Lytechinus pictus: one gene and its partner. The protein of the gene in region 2 binds, or shares a complex with, the protein of the main gene of each other region. Links are inferred from orthologs where the notes say so. Each region holds a gene or a part of one and is shown on either strand. Other genes may lie near its edges. The genes, in order: LYR motif-containing protein 4-like and iron-sulfur cluster assembly scaffold protein IscU-like.

Region 1 (8,255 bases), on a different chromosome or scaffold from region 2:
TCAGCAGATATTTGGACCAATGCCGATGTAGCCAAAAGCAGTATAGCGTATTTGCACGTGCTGCGCGACTGGCTGGTCATTGACAGCTGCATGCAAAATTACCTTGATGATCTTCGTAATGAAGATGGTGGTGAGTACACGTTTTGTCCAACAGCGCCAGGATCTTGCACCTTTAAACTAATATCATGAAGCAAAAGTCATACATCAAAAATCTGATACAACACACACACTCAGTGTGACCGATTGTGGGACCGATTGTGGGAGACTGTTCCAGTGAAATTTATCAATGTTGATCCTCCCACATTCAAGTCTTGATACTGCCACACTACTGCATAATTTGACCATGTAGGTCCATAGTTTGAACCAGGAATTATAGTTTAAACCTGATGAATGTAAGTGATGTAAGTGCATGCCAGAAAAAGATGCAGGCTATATAATGACTTCATTCACGAAGGATTGAATCTCCATTGTTCAAGTGAATTTTAGCTATCTAGAATCTTCAAAATAATTATCCAAAACACACTAATTCTAGCTTTTCATGCAGGCCTGTTTTCATGATTTTGTTTTGAACGGATTCTTAATTCTTTATTATGACCATAGACCAATGCTTAGCTGCTTGAATACAGCCATATCCAGAAATATTCAGAAAAAAGGAGAATCTTGGGTAAAGATAATTATTAAAAAATACATTCCACTTTCACCTATCAAAGTTTAAACAATAAACAAGTACATATCTCATGGCAAATCTGGGAAAAAGCATCTGGGTCAAATGACAACCTTTTCATTTTCACTATTGATGACAGGTGTCATATAAAATTTTGATGTTCATCAAAAATCCTTTGAATATTTTTTATCTATTCATTTACCTTGTTTTGAACCCACCCTCCCCACTTTAAATGAAATGCCAGCATGTTAAAAATTGATGACATGTAACATGCACATGACACATGTACACATTATGAGCTTAGGAACAAGCACACCTCAAACTAAAAATTCATGAAATATTTGTCTCCATCTCATTCTATTCCATAGCTGCAATGATGCAATCATTCTTTCATCTGGTATCCTCTCCCTCTGATTAAAATGGGAAACAAGTTCTTCATCAGAAGAGACAAGTAATATTTGGGAGTCAAAATATTGCTTCCCCAAATCCTCAGATACTGTCACTTACATCATCCTTGTTATTTGCATAGGAAACTGTCCAGAAGTTGACACTTTCTTTGGTTAGCTTGTCTTCACTGAATCACTTTCAATAACCAGCTTAGGTTCCCTGTAAAGTTGGCTGATAGTGGCCTTTAAGAATAAGTGAAAGTTAACATTATACTTGACTTCAAGTTAACATTGACACTACTCCTACAACTACTGCTTTTGCTAATGCTTCTACTACTACTGCTACTAATATTACTTCTTCTACTACTATTACTACATGTACAGTAAGCTCCATCCGATTGTATCAAGATTTGTCAGTCTATGTTCAGAGACCCTTCTTTGAATATATGGTTTTTTTTATTAACCTTATGACAACTAAAATCTATATATTCTGGGCCAAACATCCATCATATGGCTTTCTGTAACACAATTTAGTTTGTTTGCCTCCAGACGTACATTGTACATTGATTGATTGTGATTGTGATTTGCAAAGAAAAAAATAAAGAAAAAAAGAACAAAGTAGAGTATCAAAATGACAAGTACATGTATGGGTCATCATGTTACTCTATAAATAGACTTCCCCTTTAGGTTGTCCTGTTGCTTTGCCCCTCCCCCCTTCTCCTCCCTATCAAAATACACTGGCACTACCCCTGGGACTGAATACAGTGTTTGTCTATATTACCTGTCTTCTGATAATGTTCAAATTATCCTCAGCCTTCTTGATGTATCCTTCTATAAGCTCTGGATTTGTTTCTGCTTTGTGTTCTTGAAAGGCATCTCGTATCCTCCTCACTGCATACGTCCTGACAATAAAAAGAAATGAAAAAAAAAAGAAACAGATTAGAACAATGATTACAGGGAGAGAGATAGATAGATTATTAGATAGATACATGTAGATAGATAGATAGATAAATACATAAATAGATATATCAATAGATAGATAGATAGATGCCAAAAATTATAGAGCACAGTAATTTGACATCATAACAATTTTGTTTAAAATTACATCAGTTCCCTGAAAATACCTCATCATTAAGCTAAAATATCATTATAAAAACCTAACAAGGTCTATCATGTTTTTAGTAAATAGCAATGATTTATATAACATTTACCTGCAGGTGCATAGATACTGTATGATGTAGCTCTTATGCTCTACAATTACAAATTACATTGTACATCCATAATGCCTTTAACGGTAAATGCAGCCATTACCATGTCTCTCACTCTCAGGCTGAGCTGAGGAAGGAAAAGTTACTGTTTTCATCATAAAAAGCAAAAAATAAATAAAGTTACACGTCATATGCAAAGTTGGTTTGAATGCAAAGTAAAATTTTGTTTATTCATAAGGCCAGGCCCAAGGGTAAAAATCTACTTTTATATGGCAACATGGTTGTTTTTTTTTGCAGATGAATTTCAATCAAATTGGTCGGATTCGATGAGTGGTGAACTTTTAGTTTTATAATTATACTTCAAAAACATGTCATAATATTAATAATTATTCTACTTTCTTGCTACATAAATTGACCATATTATAATAGAGCACCTATGCTTCCAAGTGATCAGTAATTTACAATATGAAATCAACTTAGATCTAAATTTTGTGAGTTTTGAACTTTTGAGTACATGTAGTTCGTAAAAATATATGAAATGAAAGGTGTTACATAATGAATATCATTACCATACGTCGTTTCGAGTACATGGGACTAAATATTATATATATGTCATACATAAAAAACGTGCATTATTAAAGCATGGAATTTCCACTCTAACCTGTAATTATATCCAGTGAATTTCTGGGCTTCCCGTAGCATTTCTCTGTACAGGCTCAATATTTTCATCCTATGAACTTGAGCAGCGGCCATTTATCCGTAAAATTATTTCTACTGGAGGCTTCACGTTCGTTCAGCGAAGAGTAAACGCAATAGACATCAATGATTGCCGTTTTCGACTTGACTGCATGTGTTGGACCCAAAATAAAATAATGTGATTACTTTGTGTGATAACTCATTCTAAGCGGTACACACTGATCAGTGCGTGGCGATTCAGGGGAAGTAAATGCGGGAGTATATTGCTAATGCACTCCTTACCATCTGTGAAAGAATGATGTAAGTGATTTCATACACACGGGAACGATTTTTGTATTGGGGGTGCTGGTTTAAATTTGACAAGCAAAGAAAAGGGGGGTCGATCGCTACAAAATGATGGTGATTTCGGTACTAGGAAAAATTGGACCCCCCCCAAAAAAAGTTATTTTTTTACTAATACATGGTGAATAACACATGTACGGTACAGTCAGCACCCCAAGTTGAATCTTGGGGTGCATCCTCGATCGCTTCCCAGGGCCATCATGTTCATGCATAGGGAGGGAAAATTCTTATCATTTTTGGTTAATGTATGCACTATATAGGACCCAGATTGGCTGGCTCCTTCAAAAATGCGCCTTATTTGTATCTTTGACAGATATATGGCGCTACTGATAAAAATGCTGTGCATCATCATCATCATCCACTCTACTCCGAGTTGCCATGACCGGGTGCCTCGGGGGGGGGGGGGGGGTCTGTAAAAACGGTTCCCGTTTGCTCCGGCGACAGTCGAATGACTGAATTCAACGGCTGGATTTAACACTATATTAGGCCTATATATCCTATCCTAAACCTTACATCCTACCTACCCTAAACCTTACCCTAATAACCTAACATAATTTTACCATGTATACTATACTAACTCTAACCAGACCGAGACTCCCTGCTCTATAATTATAACCCTCCATCTTAGACAAAAATAAGGCCCGGAGCAAATGTTGTGTCACTATCTAAATTAAGTTTCGCGAGCAAGCATTTGATTTACCAAAAAAATCTGAAAATGAAAGATCCATTTAATATTTTACCCCGTTTTTCTAAATTTTTCTTGGATCAAAATCACCTTCATTTTTTTTGCATGCTTGCTTGCTTGTCAAATTCAAAACAACACCGCCTCTTAAGAATCGTCGGGACCTGACCCTTGATGGCGGGACAGATCCAGCAATGTCCAATCGGAGTGCCAATATGGAGAGTCGGGAAAAAAATTATCTGTCACAAAGGGGGTAGTCCTTGAGACCTTTAACATTTGCTTTACAAAATTATAATCAGTAGATATATAGAGGATTATTTCAAGGACTGACTGACTGATTTTGATATATTATAAACCCGAATAACCTGATCTGAGCACTATTTTTATATTTGATCATAAATAGATCGATACGTCTCGTATCTCGCTAAAAATGCCAAGTGCGAACTTAATTGGAGCAAGCTAAAAAAAATATTGAGATCTATAGACTTAACAACGAAAAAGTATACGATGAGCAACAGCTGAAAATTTTTATACAGCGGGCCTATGGCAGGGGCGGATCCAGCTTTCTCCAATAGGGGGGGCCGAAAAATATTTTCATCAACATTTTTCTCGATTGGCCGCTATCATCTGATTTTTTGTTGGCTTTTCAGGGGGTAGTCCTAACTAAAGACTGAAGTTTTTAGTATATGTTAGTTTTTTTGTTATAAACAAGTTAAGGTATCTCATGTGGTCTTGATATATAATGCTAGCGCGAGGCGCGAGCGAAAATTCTTTGATATTTGATGTCCTTAGAATTGAAGATTCTGAGCAGTTTTTATATTCATGAACAACTAAACAATGCGAGCGCGAAGCGCGAGCCGAAATTTTATTATAGTAACGTGAAAAGGGACTCAATTAGTGATTAGTGATTAATGAAGAGGATACAAGTATCACCAATTTAATAATGAGAGTGCGAAGCGCGAGCTCAAAATTTTTGATATTCCGACCTGAAAATTGAACAGTCTAAGCGCGTTTTTTATTTAAATAAAGAACAGGCTGTGTGTCTCAAACAATTAAATGCGAGCGCGAAGCACGAGCTTAATTTTTTGATATATTTACATGATAAAGGAGCATTTTGACAAATTTTGGTAAAAACTTTCAAAGAGGATAGGTATCTCACTAATCAAACAATGCGAGCGCGCAGCGCGAGCTGAAAATTTTGATATACATTAACAATTTGTGTAAATCAAACATAATAATGAAAGCTTGATGTGTGAGCTAAAATATTGTGTGCAAATTGATTATAGAACTGGTTATATTAAGTGTCATTTAATCCTCTTGAATGGGATTCATTACACAGGCAATGCGAGCGCGAAACGCGAGCACAAATTATTATATAAAGTCTATTTTTCAATTCTTCCCCTCACCTTTTTCTTGTTTCCTTTCGGGGTCGGGTCGGCCGTTTTTCGTAGTTTCTATCAAGTTAAAGAGTATACTTTTTTTCTGCAGGTTGACAAAAAATAGGGGGGGCCGGGGCCGGCTCGGCCCCCTCCTGGATCCGCGCCTGTATGGGTCAACGGTGATCTGAAAAAGGAACATTATTGTTAATGATAATTATCCAAAATCAATAATACAAGCTGAACATTTTTGTATAACATTCAGACCCGAAACCATTTCAAACACTTTTTGTAATAAAAATTAATGAACAAAATGCCTATACAACCAATGCGAGGGCAATTAAGTGTGGGCTGAACAATTTAGTTTGATCATAAGAGCTGAAAACGAAATATGTTCAAGCACTTTTCGTAATAAAAATAATTGTGTATCATACAAGCATTAGTCGAAATGATAGATTTCTGCAACATTACTACGGGAAAAAATACTAGTAATTATTGGAAAAATATAAACATTTAGGTTTTGAAATAATTATGATCCTTTAAATCTTCAAATGAATTCTAATCTTTTGAAACTTGAAATCTCTAACCGATGCAAAAAAAAAAAAAAAACAGCAGCCCGGCAATTTTTAGCACCGAGAGGCAACTGTAGATATTTTGATACAGAGATTATAGCTATTTTAATTGATTTATACATTTTTGAATACCCCCAAATATGCCTATATAAAATGGATTGGATTTGACTGGACGCGGCCCAATTGAGGCCATCAGGCATAAATATCCCTAAAATGATGTCGATCCGGATCGAGCAGATTTAAATTCATCAAAATTTGCAGAATTTTGAGCTAAATCACGGAGCTTAATGTGTAATGGAATTTTACTCACTTTTTTTCTGAACACTTGGAAAACGTCCCTAGGCTGACTGTCCAGCCCTAGCCCCCACCCCTCCCCCTCTACCTCTATCGGTTAAATTCTTTAAAGTATACATCCAAAGAAAATTCACGATTTGTGATGATTATAGACAAATTATATATGAATGGAAAGGTCTTGTCTTTTTATACACAAATATGTCACTAAAAAGTCTTATTGATGTCGTGGAAATGCAAGAAATGAAATTATTAGAGACCATTCTAAGCCCCCCAGCCGCCCCCAGACCGATGAGTTCACGCAGTGAAAACAGTCGAGAATAATGACGTCACACAATAATCGAGCTCATCATCCCTCTAGCTCTGTGCATAATACACTGAATCACCTTACTGACCTCTTCAATATCTTCCGAATTTACCGTTTTCTTCATGTAATGTGACATCCGAATTCTGTTTTCGACAACTTCAGACTATAAGGGAACCAGAACTGTGTTATTTTGCCCGTTTTTTATTGAATTGTGAACTGGAAAGATCGATTTTGTCCACTCGACAGTCTTCGTTGTGTTGCTCTACTAACTATTGAAAAACTCCAAGCTGCACGGTCCCATTCACTTGCTCCCGATGCATGTTGCAGGCTACGCTGTTTGATCCAGTCAAAAGTCAAGGTAAGCATGTTTGGAAACTGTACTTGTTCTGACGATGCATTCAGGTCAGATGACAGATACAGATCTGATATAAGTTTAGAATCATGCATTTTGGCATAACTACTATCAAAATTAAAAAGTTTTTATTTTAGAAATAATGTTTTTGCACAATTCCACCCAAGGGTTCATTACATGCCGCCACGCACAGAAAAATCAAGCCATAGAAGTCGTGTGTTGTGGACCCAAGAAGTGAGATCCCAGACGCCTCCAGGCTAAGCACGCGCAACCCACTAGTTAGAAATCCACTGCCAAACGCGGTTCGTGGTGCGAGGTTAGTATACTTAATACGTGTGAGTGGCACAATTCCAGCAGATTTTTTCTTCAGATTTCTAAAACTGGTCAGGACTCAGGCAGGCGATTAAATTATTTAGGAGCACTGAGTGGTATGGACCATGGCTGAAAATCTGCTGTTTCAGAGGAATGTTTAAGTTTTTATTATACACAGAATTACACACCATGATGCCGATGTCATGAAGCCAGACAAATTTTCAGCAGTGATTACCCTGATTCCTGGCCAAAATCACTCACACGTATTGCGAGGTTAGTATTAGTATACTACTAGTACGTATTGCGAGGTTAGTATTAGTATACTAACCACGAACCGCGTTTGGCAGTGGATTTCTAACTAGTGGGTCGCGCGTGCTGGGATCTCACTTCTTGGGTTCACGACTTCTATGGCTTGAATTTTCTGTGCGCGGCGGCATGTAATGAACCCTTGGGTGGGCCAAAATTAGAGTCTGGTGTTACTTTCTGATTAGAGTGTTGCTGCATATATGTATGCGTAATGCCTTCAACAATGAAGATAAATGCAATCTTTGTAATGACACAGAGACTCAGAGAGCACCGTACCTCAAGTGATGTTCGTGTAGTCTCCACTTCACTACTGGAGTACTGCTACAGCCTACACTACGCTACACACCTACCCGGGTAGGTGTGGCGTACATGTGCGGTAGTGTAGCGGTAGTGAAGTGGAGTGGGGCCTACACAAACATCACTTGAGGTAGAGCACCAGTGTTCTGAGTGGAACTTTTCAGGTGTCTAAACCTACTATCATTTGTTGTTGACCGGGAATTACATGCCACCGCACGTCATCAATCATCACGATAATTAAATTCATACTTTGATTTGATTATTTAAACTATTTCTTTTTTTCTCTCTTCTACACACAGATCTGCACAATTGCTGACTCTGGTGACTTCTGGTCTCGGCTTGCTACCTCAATCTGGGAGATTCCATCATGTCCTTTTACTATGATTTGGATATAGCCATTTTTTTCTTCACTCTTTCCAGGACCTACGGTTTGCAAGTTGTAGACTGATAATGATACAAAAGAA
Region 2 (7,326 bases):
TGGCATCTACTATCTTTCCATCATCACCAACTTTGATCTGTAAAAATAGAGATTGTGAGAGAAAGAGAGAAGGGGTAGGAGGGAGTGAAAGCAAGGGAAGGAGGAGAGGGTAAAGGGGGAGAGGGAGAGAAAGAGTAAGAAAAACAAAGAAAGAAGAAAGAGAGAGAGATTAAGATATCTTTTTTTTCTTTATTATAGATTATTTCAGAGCAATTACCTATTTCTTTTACCCCAGTGAGTACACAACTTTGGTATGGAGAGTAATCTGCCTTTGTTCCTCAAATTGGCACGGTGTTGCCAATTTAAAGTCAGTGCTGATAATGCAAAGTCAATTGAGACTTGTGAGCATTCAAGATAAAGAAAAATACTGGTTACATTCTTAGGAAAATCCTGCCTGATATCTCACTGATTTTACTATTTAAATAAAATTTAAAAAAAAAACAAAAAACACCGAAATGAATGAATGAATGAAAAATGCTTTGCAAAATGACTTATTGATATTCATTTTATACTTTGAACTTGACATCTCTAGATGTTGTCATTAACAGCTGAACAATATTTTTTCATAATTGTTACTTAACCTTATATTCTAATTTTACAGTCAGTCACAAGAATCATAACGGAATAACTTTCTAAATCAAAGCTTACCTGTAGTTTCATGACGTCACCACATGCTGGTGCACCAACCAACCCTGTGCCAACATTCTTGTCATTCTTGTCCATTGCTCCAACATTCCTTGGGTTCTCGTAGTGATCTATCACCTAAGAATACAAAGATAAATAGGAGATGAGATCAGTTGGATCAAGACAGGTTAGACTAAGATAAGCTTCACGATGGATTACTACTTGCACACATTTCTTGCACTGTGTGATTGACAAGCAAGTAGCAGATGCTTTGGAGAGTAACCTTGCATTTAAAGAATGAAACGTTTGGAACGAGATAGCTTGTGTGAAAACAGAAAACTCAAAGAAACTGATCAACGAAAGTTTGAGAAAAAATCAGACAAATAATGAAAAAGTTATGAGCATTTGAATATTGCGATCACTAATGCTATAGAGATCCTCCCATTGGCAATGCGACAAAGATGTGTGATGTCACTTGTGAACAACTCTCCCCATTTCTTTAGTATATATTTCACTTGAACTGCCTCTTTTATTACATCTATCAGTAGATCATGTGTTCTTTCTGTAGGAGGGCATGTAATACAGATTTTTAAAGAATACATCATGGATAAAGAGTTTGTATCACCATAACAAAAAGCAAAAGGAGACATTTTGGGGGTATTTTATAGTCCATCAAAGAAAAAGTTGTTCACATGAGACATCACACATCCTTGTTGCATTGCCAATAGGAGGATCTCCATAGCATTAGTGATTGCAATATTCAAATGATCATAACTTTCTAATTATTTGTCAGATTTTTCTCAAACTTTCTTTGTTCTTATTCTTTGATTTTTTCGTTTCGACACAAGCCTACTTATTCCAAAGGTTTCATTCCCCTTTTAACTACGTTTCAAAGGTATTGTATTTATTGGTAGACTCTACCCATATTTTATCAAATAATCATAAGAATTGCACATAGGGTCTACAAAGAATTTAGACACAGTTATAAAACTACTGACGAGCTGAATTAAGGTTGTGAATATTAATAGCGCGGCACTTTTAAAATTAGCAACCCTAATTTAGCTCGTTAGCGCCACCATCAGGCATGTCGGGCTTCCTTTTACTTCTGTGGAAGAGTATGCAACACCACTTTCGAGCTTTCCAAAAAAGTAAGCAACTTTTCTATTCTTTAAATTGAATTTCAATGTTTAAATCTACTTCTGTTATGAAGTGATGTTTACTGACTTCTCAAAAATCCACTGTCACTGACTCACGGCACTGACTGTGACGTGTAGTGCCTGGTTAGTATAGCTATAGCTAACCTCGAATTGGGCGACGTGATACACATGCAGGCAGGCTCGCACTAACACACTACCATGACTACCGTCGGTGGGTGGGGATTACATACTAAAAAATGTAAGAAATTGGGCGCTAATGCAGTTTCGCACCGGCCGATTACCAGCATACCTCATCACCACTAAATTTACTTGTCCCCAAATGTCATGACAAGTCTCTCAGTCACATTTCGAGGTCAATATATACCTACCTCTTTTCCAAATATCGCGATCAGGAACGGCTGTATTTCAGCTTTGATCTCAATGTCGTTGTTCGAATCCTCAGACATCACTTCACGGATCTTGGCCTTGGATTCGCCGGGCACCGTAATGTTGATGGACTGAAGTTAGCAACCAAATCATGCGAACATGTGGCGAACTGCCAGCATGCTGCAGCTAGGCGAATCTTTTGCCTTGGTCGCATAACTTCAGTCCAAAAAGGTGGGTATATTGACCTGGAAATGTGACTGACAGACTTGTCATGACATTTGGGAACAAGTATTGGTAATGAGGTATGCTGGTAATCGGCTGGTGCGAAACTGCATTAGCGCCAATTTTGAGGAAAAATTTCAGACTTAAAACTTTTCCATTATTACAAAATGGTATTGGTATTACATGTTCCTATTTATAGGGACATGAGAAAGGGGCTTAACATTATACCTTACAGTATTGTTAAGCGTAAGCCCCTTTCTCATGGTTTGCTGCAACTAACTAACTACACATTTGACCGGAAACTGCCACCTGGTTTTACCAACTGCAACCTTACACACAAACTCAGCTCCGCGCGCTCTCACTCGGCTTTGATACTAGTACCAGTGGTAGTGGTACTGTAGCCGTGTAGGCAGCCTTCTCATCTCATTCTTCTCATAATTTTCTGGTCGCCACAAAAAGATGTACTCACATTTTTATGATACGAGGCTGATGCAGGAACCGGTTGAACTAACTTTGTTGCCAGTAGAGGCCGCAAAGTCTTCCCAAGTAGTCGTGCATTGCTTGAAATTGGCATTTTGATGTCACAAATTTGTATTCGTCGCAGTCAGAATAAGCGAAAACAGCGGATTGCGTAAAGTTGTTTATCATTATCACGTGACACATGTCACGTCACATGGCCTATGGGTAAATATTAATTAAAATAAGGATTTCCCCTCTCAGTCTCTCTCCCCCCCTCTCTCTTTTCCACTCTTTCGCTCCCTCCCTTAATATTATGTTATCATAGACCATTTTATCCACCGTAATACATTGGATGAAGACAGAGAGAAAAAAAATGAATCTACAAATAAAAAATGAATGAATGAATAAATAAATTAATTAATTGAAAAAAAAAAGATAAATAAATGAATGAATGAATGAATGAATGAATTAATGAATGAATAAATGAATGAATGAATTAAATGAATAAACAATAAATCAATAATTAAATGAGAACGAAGAAATAAACGAGACAAAAAGTTGAATAAGTAATAAATAAATGCATAAATTACTTAATGAAATAGATAAAGAAATTAAGCAACGAAGAAAAATTAACAGTAAGGCAGAACTTCCAATAGGCCCTATATATATTTATGCCTATTTTTCTATTTTTTTGTCAAGGATTCTAATTACACTATACATAATAGTTGCAAATAGTGGCAAATTAACACGTATTTCTTCTTTTTCATGTACACGTACTCTACAGTTGTAAATATTGGCATTTCTTTATGTATTAGTTTCAGATTATATCAATTGCAAATTAAGACTTCATATTTCTTTTTGATCCTGCAGACCTGACAAGCTTTGCTTTTTTTAATGCAGGTTCCCTAATATTTCACCATATTTTGAACTGTCCTTGATTTCAAATCGCCGTATTATTTAATTAAAAAGATGAATATGCTGCCATGTCTTATTTTTCATACGATATTCATTCGGATGTTATATAATTGTGTGAAATATATGTAAGTCAATCACGTTACTATCGAAAATATAGCTCGATACGCCGGCATCGCTTTACATTCTCACGTTCAAGTATCCTAGTAAATGATGATAATAGACACAATTTTTTTTTTTTTTTTTGGGGGGGTCCTTTATATTTTTTTCTTGTTTTTTTATCATTCTGTGCAATAAATCACAGATAATCAATACAAGTAGGGCCTAATTGAGAAAAAGAAATGAGAGAAAAAATAATAGAGCAATAGAATTGTCATCATTTGGAAACAATTAATACGACATATCAATTAACAATGATTAACAAGTAGTTAATGTAGTCACTTTGTCTCTTCTATATACGTATTCCTCATCCCCTATAATAATATTAAAGGGGAAGTTCACCCTGACAAAAAGTTTATTGTGAAAATATCCTAGAAAAAAATAATAAACTAATATTGCCGCCTGAGGTTTGAGAAAAATCGATCAAAGAATAAACAAGTTATTCGAATTTTAATTATTTGATTTGTGACGTCATATGCGAGCAGCTTTCCTACAATATGGCAAAATCAACTGATCAATGAAATGTCATTTTCCCAGAAAATTGAAAATGTTTCTTTTTCTGTGCCTTCAGTATATCAATAGACAATGATTCCGCACCCGTTCCTAAAAAGAAACCAGGAATATTCACGGCCACAAATACGGACCATTACAAAATTGGATGCATTTTATATTACATAACATGTTGGGCTACCCGTTGGGCTATTGCTCGTTTATGACGTCACAAATCCAAAACTTAACCATGTTAAAATTCTTCTCAAACCTTCACCAATATGTTTGATTATTTATTTTTTCTGCCGGCTATTTTTACAACAAACTTTTCTACAGGGTGATCGGGCCCCTTTAAAGGCAAGAAAGTAGCAACAGTGGGATCTTTGCACGCGTTGGGGGATAGTAATGACAATATTATGATTTCCTTGTTATTTTCTTTAATGTAAGATTTTCATATTGCACGGTCATTATTATATAGATGTTATCCAAGAACTATTGCTTTTTTATTAGCTTATCTAATTTGAAGGAAGGGGAGAAAATTTATTATTACGATTGTTGAATTTAATCGCACGAATGGGCAAGATTGCAACATCAGCGCGTAAGAACAAGTTAGATTCAGGCTCATCAAGACATTGTTAGTTGTAAAATAATTATGATAGTAAATAACTTACAACTTAAATCTAAATTCCGAAAATAATTTGTAAGTTTATTATTTTTTCTTGGCAATATGAGATGCGAGACACTGCTAATACCTCGGTCACATTTGCTTTACGGCAGCCGTACGGCGAGTCGAAAGCACCCGTTATATTCATTTTTTCAAACCACCTATATGAAGCTGGTACACAAAATATTTAACGGCTGTTTTCGATTCGCCTTACGGCGGCCGTAGAGCAAACGTGACCAAGGTATTATATGATTGATATTTCTTTCTATGACATTTGAGGGATGAACGGGAAGATAGCCAATCGTGGTGCATCCCATCAAAGTAAGATGGGTCACTCCAAGGGCTACCTGTTCCCTCTAGAAAAATTCCTCACAGACTATTTAAGCTGTGGAACCTAGGGCTACCTAGGCTCGTTATTTTCCTTACTCATTAGTTTAAGGCATGCCGCCGAAGAGGGCACTCAACCATCCCAACCAAAATAAAGATATTTGTTGTAGCAGTTAGTAAAGAGATGCAATGTTATAGATTGCACATTAATTAATAATCCATAGGTGCTGTGCTTATATATAAATGCGTAACCTGGTTGGTAATTAATTGGAAGATAATGAGACTAAAGATTTTTGCGTCTTGATTTTCTGAATAGATTTTTATCCGCATGTTTGCCTGTAAACGATGATCAATCACAAGGAATGATATTCATAATTACTCATACATATTTATGATGTATGGTAAGCCATATGTGCAATAGGAATACAGAATCGCTTGAATAATTCCAAGTGATATAAATGTGTTGGTTTGTTGAATATGAAGCAAACAGGATAAGATATTTAGCTGGTTACAATTTAGGTCAAAACCATATGACTGTCTCGATCCGGGGGAGGAGGGGGGGGGGTGGGAGATATATCCTTAATTATTTGTAGGTGGGAGGGGATGACCTAAGTTATCATCACCCAATAATTCGATAAACATCATAATATATTTCAATATGATGAAGCGTATGACATGTACGATCATAATAGAATGACAATGATGATGATGAATAATAATGATAATAATAATAATCATCATATCAATAATAATACTAATAACATTACTACTACTACTAGTAGTACTACTACTACAACAACAACAACTACTACTACTACTACAACAAGTAAAAATAATAATAACAATAATAATAATAATAATGATGATGATGATGATGATGATTGTACGTCAAGATGGTGGTAGTGATGTTTATTGTATTTACGCTTGATGACAATTGAAAGTGTTTTTCTCATAATGTTCTTGATCGCTTTAGAATGAAACCACTCATTTTTGAAACTGTTACAAACATATAGACGGAAAAAGAAAATAAAAATCAGGATCAAACAGAATAACATGTTCATGTCTCTGTATTGATATATCATATCTTTTTCTTCAAAATTCCTTTTTGTTACCTCTTCCTGCATGCAACCAAGCAAAATGCGGTTTGTCCCGTTTATTTTACCAACATTTGGCATATAATTCATTTTTCATAGTTTTCCTATTCTGGTTAATGATGTGAAATAATTGGAGAACACACGAAATTTGTGAGAAGTAGAGTGTAAGGAAAGAACCTTGAAAACCGATAAGAGTCCTGAAAATAATTTATTTCCAGGTCAATTAAAAAAAAAAAATTAGCTCGAGCTTTAATTGCGAGAGCATTATTGATCTGATCCTATAGTCCTAGACGAACACAACACTGGAAATATCTTGGATGCAAGACGAACTAAATCGTATTTTGAGCTGTTGTCTTGTTTCATTGTAGGCCTGTAACACTCTTTTCAAACACAAATATTTTAATTTCTCTATAGCAATGTAAACGGTTTATATTGGTCTGCAATTCGTTGATTGATCTACTTCTCAGGAATAATTTCTGATAGTCTTATCTGATAGCATAATATCACGGTTTTTTGTCAATTTCGTCTTATTGCCACAATGGTCTACATTTTTAAGGCGTTGCAATTTATTCTCTTCTTGAAGATAAACTCATGTAAAATTGATTTGTCGATCAAGTTATGTGAAACCCCGAAAACCTCCTGCTTTTGCGAATATGACATCTAAATTTGAGTCATATTTGCATACTGAAAGCTTAACTCTTTAATTTTAAAGAATAAAATCAAAACAAAAAACACACAAAAATCATGTATATCTTTGATTTCTCACCCCCTTTTTATTTTTATTTTTTGGTTCAGAGATAGCCATGAATTTAAATCAGATACTGGAGAATCCATTTGTTTTCCCTTATTAAAT

The links.
Region 1: iron-sulfur cluster assembly scaffold protein IscU-like (region 2) and LYR motif-containing protein 4-like share a complex: the UniProt entries of both Drosophila melanogaster proteins name them as parts of the mitochondrial core iron-sulfur cluster (ISC) assembly complex. The link is inferred for Lytechinus pictus from reciprocal best matches to the Drosophila melanogaster genes IscU and bcn92.

What each region holds. Positions count from the first base shown.
Region 1 is NC_087246.1:65,511,614-65,519,868, reverse strand, and holds the start of LYR motif-containing protein 4-like, read right to left. Parts: upstream 3,244-8,255; 5' UTR 3,012-3,243; coding exon 2,920-3,011; intron 1,953-2,919; coding exon 1,832-1,952; intron 1,294-1,831; coding exon 1,225-1,293; 3' UTR 1-1,224. UniProt on the Drosophila melanogaster protein: Stabilizing factor of the core iron-sulfur cluster (ISC) assembly complex that regulates the stability and cysteine desulfurase activity of Nfs1 and participates in the [2Fe-2S] clusters assembly on the scaffolding protein IscU.
Region 2 is NC_087248.1:21,450,330-21,457,655, reverse strand, and holds the start of iron-sulfur cluster assembly scaffold protein IscU-like, read right to left. Parts: upstream 3,168-7,326; 5' UTR 2,944-3,167; coding exon 2,839-2,943; intron 763-2,838; coding exon 649-762; intron 38-648; coding exon 1-37. UniProt on the Drosophila melanogaster protein: Scaffold protein for the de novo synthesis of iron-sulfur (Fe-S) clusters within mitochondria, which is required for maturation of both mitochondrial and cytoplasmic [2Fe-2S] and [4Fe-4S] proteins.